Linked DNA regions of Arabidopsis thaliana. The protein of the gene in region 1 interacts with the protein of each later gene in a pairwise test. Each region holds a gene or a part of one and is shown in the gene's direction. Other genes may lie near its edges.

Evidence for each region.
Region 2: the proteins of AT5G45580 (region 1) and HAM4 interact in a two-hybrid assay, tested with the Arabidopsis thaliana proteins (one large-scale study listed by BioGRID).

What each region holds. Positions count from the first base shown.
Region 1 is NC_003076.8:18,480,022-18,484,874, reverse strand, and holds AT5G45580 (Homeodomain-like superfamily protein), read left to right. Parts: upstream 1-1,866; 5' UTR 1,867-2,228; coding exon 2,229-2,370; intron 2,371-2,683; coding exon 2,684-2,760; exon of another isoform or gene 2,761-2,799; coding exon of another isoform or gene 2,800-2,853; coding exon 2,854-2,920; intron 2,921-3,069; coding exon 3,070-3,145; intron 3,146-3,229; coding exon 3,230-3,308; intron 3,309-3,381; coding exon 3,382-3,783; 3' UTR 3,784-4,066; downstream 4,067-4,853. Other genes in the region: AT5G45590 (Ribosomal protein L35), read left to right, coding at 143-232.
Region 2 is NC_003075.7:17,303,865-17,308,346, forward strand, and holds HAM4 (GRAS family transcription factor), read left to right. Parts: upstream 1-1,893; 5' UTR 1,894-2,195; coding exon 2,196-3,656; 3' UTR 3,657-3,784; downstream 3,785-4,482. Other genes in the region: HVA22K (HVA22-like protein K), read left to right, coding at 3,905-3,967, 4,253-4,311.

The sequences.
Region 1 (4,853 bases):
AATGGACAAATGGTAGGCAAAGTTGTATTTTACAATACCATCTCTGTTGTTGGACCTCTTCGGGGTTTCATCATTGTGTAAGATTTCTGAGTCAGGTTGAGAAATGTTGAGTGTAAAGAATTTGTTTTGTTAATTGATGCAGTCAAAGAAATCGAAGCGTAGATTGAGACAACCTGGACTAGTACCACCAGCATATGCGAAAGTCATGAAGAAACTCAATTTCTGCAATTGAGAGATAGAGCATGAAACAGTATGATTACGATGAAAGCCAGTCTCTTCCAGTTTTTACCAGATAATTTTGCTCACTGGTACTCAAAAAATCTTTATGTTTCAGTTTAACTTCATTGGAATAAATTGAGTTTTCGAAATATGGTGAAATTGGCGTTAAGACTGATCGGTTTTGAAAAGAGAAACAAGTTAGGCTTATGATTTTTTCTCAAGTACATTTTCCAGCTAAACCAGAAGAAACTTTGTTTCCCGAGTCGGTCCGGTTATATGATATTTCGGTTTAGTCAGATTGTACCGGTGTAAACCGAGCTTTGGATTGAAAAATACACCCATTCTCATGTTTGGTTAGGACAAAACGATTGCGGTCGAACGAAGCGGCCTTGGTTCCACGTGTGTATTTCTTGTGGGTCTCAATTTCAACAAACGTAAAAGACAAAAGAGTAACAAAGCCGTCCACGTGTCCTATGTTGAAATACCATTAAACCCCCACCGTCGAACATGTGAGTTTCAGATTATTGTATTTTCCTTGTCCGACGGCGAATATTCCACGCTGGCAGTCTACGTGACATGCTCGCCCCATGCACTTTGTTTTCGTCATATAAATTCCTTTTTAAAACCATTGAATTATTATTGTTATTGTTTTTAAAAAAATACAAAAAAAGGTTTTATGTCGCTCTTGTCGGAATTTGACACCGCTCATCACTCATCATGTATTGATCGTCGCCGAATACAACGATTTGTTTTTTTTTTAAAACAATTTTTAAAAGGTCACAATACAACAATGAATTTCATCAAATCTTTTATCAAAAAAAAAATGAATTTCATTTTATTTGATTATTCGGAATTGATTTATGTGTAATGTGGAATGTGTAATAACAAATTACTAATTTAGTAATTTGGTCGAAACATTTTCTATGTTTATTTTCTTCTTCTATCTCAAATTGAGACTATCCGACAACATATGAATGATAAATTTATATGATACCTAAATAAAGGAACAACATGGAGAGAGATTTTGATTCATGGATTGTATGAGAATGAGACAAAACCTTTAGTCATAAGTTATCTGATTTAAAAACACATAAATCTAACATATAAATTATTCAAATGATAAAAATGATAATTCCTAGAAACTATATATTCTTTGGACATTAATAATCTAGGTATAGTAAACAAATATCCATGATGCGGGCCATGTTCCTCTCTCCCATGTTACGATTCTGAATATACAAATACCTCTTGATTGATTACAAAAAGAAAAAAAAAAGTACGCAATCATGTATATATTTTATTCTACAACATGACATATACACGGTCTAGCATCTCATAGACACAATTAAAAACGCAAGTAATATGCGGTTGGTAATTGCGTTTGTATGCAATAAATCACTAATCAGTCATAATACAATAAAATTTTGCTATGTTTTGCTTTCATACTATTCACAAAATCGATATAAAAAACGTTAATAATTACTATTTTCTTTTTTATTATCATAATATTTCGATATGGATACAATTTGTTTTTGTATATAAACAAACTTTTAGTGTTGGATCCATAATTTGTATTATACATATATTATAATAATACTATATTAACCGAAGGTTGACGTTAAGTCACGAATAATGTCACCACTTCTCCTCCTCCATCATCATCATCACCGCGACGACTTTTTTAAGTTCCCTTTCTCTCTCTCTGAGATTTTCCTCAAAAAGTTTTCTGATCTCTTTTTCTCCATCAATCATCACACTTCTTTCTATTTATCTCGTCCTCTCGTCGCCGATTATCTCTTTACCCTAATCACTCGCATTCCCATCTTTAACAAAATTTCTTCCACTTTCTTTCCGACCAATATTTCGTAGTTCGATTGCCATTTTTCCTTTTTTTGAGTTTACGCTTCCTCTTTCCGATCACATCCTTGAGAAGAGGAAAATTTCGAAGTTATTTGATTCATTCTTCCGACTGAGTTTCCCGCCATTATTTTGTTTGATCGGAAAATTAAATGGAAAGAGTGAATCTCGGAGGTTTAGGTTACGATAATGGCGGAGTTATGATGACTAGAGATCCCAAACCTAGGCTCAGATGGACAGCCGATCTTCATGATCGCTTCGTCGACGCCGTCGCTAAGCTCGGTGGCGCTGACAGTAAGCTCCTCTTTCCTCCTCTTCTTCAATTGTGATAACCGGTTTCACTTTATAATTCCGGTTCAGTCCGGTTAAATCTACAGTTGATGTATCTGTGTAACAACATTATAGCTCTTTTACTCTTTCTTATTCTTCAATTGAGATAACCGGTTTCACATTATGATTCCGGTTCACTTCGGTTTGGTTGGTTAAGTTAATGCCAGTGATTCAATTGATTCTTCTCTATGTAGCTTGATAACTTCAAATTTAATAGGTTACAAATGTAATTATATCTGTTTGCTTAGTGACATTTGTTATTGGTTTGGTTTTGTAGAAGCAACTCCTAAATCGGTTCTGAAGCTGATGGGATTAAAAGGTTTAACACTGTACCATCTCAAGAGCCATTTACAGGTCCAAATTTATACAAATTTGAGTATATAATAATGTATAATGTCTACAAATTGTTGGTTTATATTCTCTCTTATGATGTGTTTCTATATGCAGAAGTATAGACTTGGTCAACAACAAGGCAAAAAACAAAATAGAACAGAACAAAACAAAGAAAATGCTGGTATGTATGATTATTATCAAGAATTCAAGATTTATATATAATTCAGCTTATAGTAGAGTATAATATATATATACATATGATGTATTTAAGGAATATTAATGTAGATAACATTTGAGAAACCAAAGATTGATTGATTTTTGTATTCACAGGAAGTTCATATGTGCATTTCGACAATTGTTCTCAAGGAGGAATCTCCAATGATTCAAGATTTGATAACCATCAAAGGTATATTATATATGAATTTGCCTTCTCTCGACATAATGGATTTGTAAAGCTTGAGTTTGACATAATGTTAATGAACACACGTAGACAAAGCGGGAATGTACCTTTTGCTGAGGCAATGAGACATCAGGTCGATGCGCAACAACGGTTTCAAGAACAACTCGAGGTAACAAATCTCTTCTTTCTTCTCTCACAACAATGAATAAAAGTTTTAAACCGAAGTTTTTGCGGTGTTATAGGTGCAGAAAAAACTGCAGATGAGAATGGAGGCACAAGGAAAATATTTGTTGACATTACTAGAGAAAGCACAGAAGAGCTTACCTTGTGGTAATGCAGGGGAAACAGACAAGGGTCAATTCTCGGATTTCAATCTCGCACTTTCGGGACTTGTAGGAAGTGATCGTAAGAACGAGAAGGCGGGTTTGGTTACTGATATCTCACACCTTAATGGTGGTGATTCCTCTCAAGAGTTTCGGTTATGTGGAGAACAAGAGAAAATAGAAACCGGAGATGCATGTGTTAAACCAGAATCCGGGTTTGTGCATTTTGATTTGAACTCCAAAAGTGGGTATGATCTCTTGAATTGTGGGAAATATGGGATTGAAGTGAAGCCAAATGTGATTGGAGATAGACTTCAATAGGTTAAAGAGACACTTTCTTTAATTTTTTATTTTATTTTATTATTTCTTTACATTTCTTATAGAATGTTACAAATTTGGCTTCATGGTTTCTCAGTCAAATATCAAGAACATATTTGAAGTCCAAAGTAGTTGATATCAGCTAAATACGGAATAATTGGGTTTAACTAAATAAGTTATTTTTGTGAATAATAAAGTGTAGCATCTTCTCTCGCTTGTTCTGCAAAATTCAAAACCTATTTGCTTGTTTCTTAATTCTTTTCAAAAATATGTCTATGCATCTAATTGTCTCTTTCTAAAAAATGAGGATCAAACAAAGATGAGATTTGATTCTCATGATTGATTTTCTCAGTTAAAAATAAGGGAAATTTAATAGAGTAACCCATATTTTATACATAAAGACCCAAAAGGAATGCTAAAAATATGAGTTATTTGAGTAATAATTATACCTAAATTATCCTTGTTTTCCTTTGCAGAGAAAAACAATATTACAGAAATGCCATTACTATTTAATTCCAGCAAGGCAATAAAACCACATTTATTTACGAAAATGCCATCGTCGTTTTTGATAAATCTGTGGCTCTTGTTGCGACGGATTTGTTATCGATCACAGATTTGTTGGTCAACCACAGATTTTTTACAACAGACTTGTTTTGTACCCCAGACTTTCCTGTGTTATGTTACGCCAGATTTTTTTTTTTTCGCAGATTTTTTAACCGTGACTAATTTGTTTCATATAGTCTCCACAGATTTTATTTAAATTTCAAAAGTAAGAATGTTGAAACCAAATCTGTCACTGATTTGTTTTTCGGACCACAGATTTTTCTTTATGGCGGCAACAGATTTTCTATTTGCACCCAAAAATCTGTTGTGTTATAACAGATTTGTTAACCTCGAAAAATGTTATATAGGCATGACAGAGTTGTTTTGTGTAATCACAGATTTAATTAACTTGTTAACAAATCTGGTGTTTTACAACAGATTTTTGTTAAAAAATAAAATTACTACACAGTCACATAGTGATAACAGATTTGTTTTTAGTGATGACAGTTTTTTTTTTCAGTGTCAAAACA
Region 2 (4,482 bases), on another chromosome or scaffold:
CTGGCAATTCAATCTAACAAAAAAAAGGCAACTAATTTGGCGAGTGATTTCAGTTCGATAAATCATTGATTATTTTTCTTGCATGTTCCACATATATAAACTATAATATTATGGTATTTTATGTATGATCCTCGAAAATAAACTAACTAGTTGTTAAGCATGAGATTAGGATACAAGTGGATCCCATTGCATGTAGGCGTTCATACGGTGGAATATTAAACTTGATTATTTCTCTTAAATTTTTAAAACATAACAGAAATGTGGGCTTAATCATTAATTTAATGAGAAACAACTAAAAAAAGTTGCCACAAAAAGAACTTTTAGTATTTTAGTGTGTTAATTGAGCCGCTATACCGCATAAAATCTAAATTATATAACACAGATGAAGACTTATGTAAGAAAAAAAGTTGAATTATGTTAGGAAAAAGGTGTATTAATGAGAGGAACCTTTTCTCCACGATATTAAAGGTTGAATAATGTCTCAATGAGAAGAAGCTTTTCTTCACGAGAACTATATGATGTTTAAATTTCGCAAACTAGGCCATATTTTGCGAAAATGGTGAGTTATTAACCTAATATGATCAAACATTCCTAATTACACAAGGAAAAAAAAAAGAGAGTATATTCAAAAGATTGAGGAAATGGTTTTGCATTCTGGTACACCAAACCAAATAGAAAAGAAAGAAAACAAAAAAGGAAGGTAAATTTCCATGAAAATGAAAGCAATAAGTGAAGGAGAGAACATATTCTTTCTTTTTCCTTTGCGAGTTAGAGAGAAGAGTGGGGGGCTAAGCAAAAGAAAGAAGTGGGCGTGATTCTTACGCGCTGACTTAATGATCAGTCAATCTCTGGCCCATGGGCTTCTCGGTCATTTTCTCCGACATTATTACCTCAAAAGTTAGCCCATTGTGGACCCGCTTACTTTCCCCCTGCTTTTTACCGTGTTATGTGGGCTCCACATAAAGCCCAGTGGTCACTCCCTTTTTCCTTTCCTTTGTTTTTTGTCGCAAGCAGCGGGGATTAGTGTCCGTTAAACATCATCGACTCAAATTGTTTCATGCAATTTTCCCCTTTTTTATTGGTTATCAATCGAATAAACCTCTCTAGCTTTTGTAACTAGTTTGAGATTATTATGTGATATATGCACGGTACTAAATAAATACATAATATTGTATTTTGTGTGGTACTAACAACTAGGTTTAGTGAGAATAAAAACGACGTTGTAGAGTTTGTTTAGTAAGAATATTTTTGTCCAACACAAACTACTTTTAAAAAAAAATTCCAAACGTTGATATACCTATTGCCTATTGGAATAATCAACGCAGATTCATAGTTTTTTATTTATCTCCATACTTGGGTCAAAAACGTATGAGATTTAATGATCGAAAACAATATCCACAAATATGAAATATTTTAACGCTGATCTCAAACTCAGGTACAACATAGTTACATATAGCCGTGCTGCTATGTTTGAGAAAGATTATTTTTGATCACTTAAATTGTCATATGTAATAAAAAAAAACTTTCAGTTAAATGTTTTTGTAAAATACTGTTTAAAATTTTAGGATGAAAAAGACTGAAAAAAAACCACTCAGACAAAAAAAAGAGAGAAATCATTAACCTTTTTAAAACATCCTTTTTCTCTTTTATTTTCAACTTTCACATTCTTGATGATCAACATAGTGGAGCTTGGATCTCTTTTCAATCAAATGATTTATTTTTATTTTTAAAGCAGAGGAACTTTATTTGTATTTTATCCCTTTAAAGAGCTGTAGAAGTTTCCTTTTCATTAGCTACAGAAGTTGCTAGTTGTGCATAGTATATAGTTTTGGAGATATATTATGAGAAATTAATACAAAATAAAAACTGATTTAAAATCTTTCAGTTGAATTTCATGTGAAATAGTATGTTATTAATAAAAAACGGAATCATATACAAATCATTGTCAATCAGATTGTTTCGTGTATAAATATTATTCTGTAAAACCAAACAAACCCGGATCAGACACGGTTACCAAAGTTGAAATCTCTTTATTTGCACGCACTCACTCAAAGATAAAAAGCTTACCACTCTCACCTTTCAAAAGCCCCGCCACCTTCTTCTTCTCCCACACACAAAGAAAAAAGACAGAAAGAAAAAAACTTTTTTTCTTTTCGTTAAAGGCTCCACCTTTCTTTCTTCTTAACACACAACACATGAAAATCCCTGCATCATCTCCTCAAGACACGACCAACAACAACAACAACACTAATAGTACTGATAGTAATCACTTATCAATGGACGAACATGTCATGCGTTCAATGGATTGGGATTCCATCATGAAAGAATTGGAGCTTGATGACGATTCTGCTCCTAACTCACTTAAAACCGGTTTCACCACAACCACAACAGATTCTACTATTTTGCCTCTTTACGCCGTCGATTCAAATCTCCCTGGCTTTCCCGATCAGATTCAACCGTCGGATTTCGAATCGTCTTCCGATGTTTATCCTGGTCAGAACCAAACAACTGGGTACGGTTTTAATTCTCTTGATAGTGTCGACAATGGAGGATTTGATTTCATTGAAGATCTCATCCGAGTCGTGGATTGTGTTGAATCGGACGAGTTACAACTCGCTCAGGTGGTTTTATCACGGCTTAATCAACGCTTGAGATCTCCGGCGGGTAGACCGTTACAGAGAGCTGCGTTTTACTTTAAGGAAGCTCTCGGTTCGTTTTTAACCGGATCAAACCGGAATCCAATCCGGTTATCTTCTTGGTCCGAGATTGTTCAGAGGATCCGAGCGATTAAGGAATATTCCGGGATTTCTCCGATCCCTCTCTTCTCTCATTTCACGGCGAATCAAGCGATACTCGATTCGTTGAGCTCGCAGTCGTCTTCTCCGTTTGTTCACGTGGTGGATTTTGAGATTGGATTCGGTGGCCAATACGCATCGCTTATGAGAGAAATCACTGAGAAATCTGTAAGCGGTGGATTTTTAAGAGTTACGGCAGTGGTGGCGGAGGAGTGCGCCGTAGAGACGCGACTAGTGAAAGAAAACCTAACTCAATTCGCGGCGGAGATGAAAATTCGTTTCCAGATTGAGTTTGTGCTGATGAAGACTTTTGAGATGTTATCTTTCAAAGCGATTAGGTTTGTTGAGGGGGAGAGGACCGTCGTTTTGATTTCCCCGGCGATATTTCGTCGTCTAAGTGGAATCACTGATTTTGTTAACAATTTACGGAGAGTATCACCTAAGGTCGTTGTATTCGTGGATAGTGAAGGATGGACGGAGATCGCCGGATCTGGATCATTCCGGCGAGAGTTTGTTAGCGCTCTTGAGTTCTACACGATGGTGCTGGAGTCGCTCGACGCTGCAGCTCCTCCCGGAGATTTGGTGAAGAAGATAGTGGAAGCGTTCGTTCTACGACCGAAGATCTCCGCTGCGGTAGAAACGGCGGCTGACAGGAGACACACCGGCGAAATGACTTGGCGGGAAGCGTTTTGCGCCGCCGGGATGAGGCCGATACAGCTAAGCCAGTTCGCCGACTTTCAAGCTGAGTGTTTATTGGAGAAAGCGCAAGTTAGAGGATTCCACGTGGCGAAACGACAAGGAGAATTGGTGCTGTGCTGGCATGGAAGAGCACTTGTTGCCACATCAGCTTGGCGGTTTTAGATAAACCGGGTTTGGTTTAACAATATGATATAGAATAGAATAATTGTATTTACCGCCTTTAATATCTCTTTTCTTTTTGCTGTTTATCTTTCAAATAAAGAAATAAAAATATTTCTTACGAAGAGTCTCTGTATGAGCTAGAGTCTTTTAATGATTCATAATCTCCTCTATTCAAAACACAAGTGACCTTTTTTTTGCGAGTGTGCGAGTTCGTCGTCAATTTGGTAAAACCGTCGTACGAATCGCCGATGAGCGGGTTTGCTTCACAGATTCCATCCATGGCGCTTCTTGGATCTGGACTCACCGGCGAGGTAATCTTCCTTTAGTTTGATTGATGTTTCCGATTGTACGGCTTTTGTTCCGATCCGTGATTTGGGGATTCGTGATAAAGTTTATGATTAAATATGTATATTTAGGATTCCTTCATCTTCTGCCTTGTTGGAATTCAGATTTCTTCTGTACTGGATTGTTTTTTTGTTTGGATTACTCTTTGACAAAAGCCGATTAGAGAAAGAGGTGTTTCAATTCCTGATCATGTGGATATTCTCAACTTTTGGATTGAGAGAAACAATTGTTTTTCTCAATGGAATTTTCAGGTTGGGTTGCGTGTATTGTTCTCTCCACTTAGTTCCAATATCGTACTTCGTACAGCATGGTGAGTTTTTTTTATTGTAAGGTGAAGAAAGCCATATAGTTGCTAGAATCAATGGTACAGGTAGACGAATGAATTGGAGGAATGATTTGATTGGTGAGATTGTGATCTGATTGAGTGATTCTCATTACATGTGAAGCAATGGGGTAGGGAGGGAGTTTTTTTTTTTTTTTT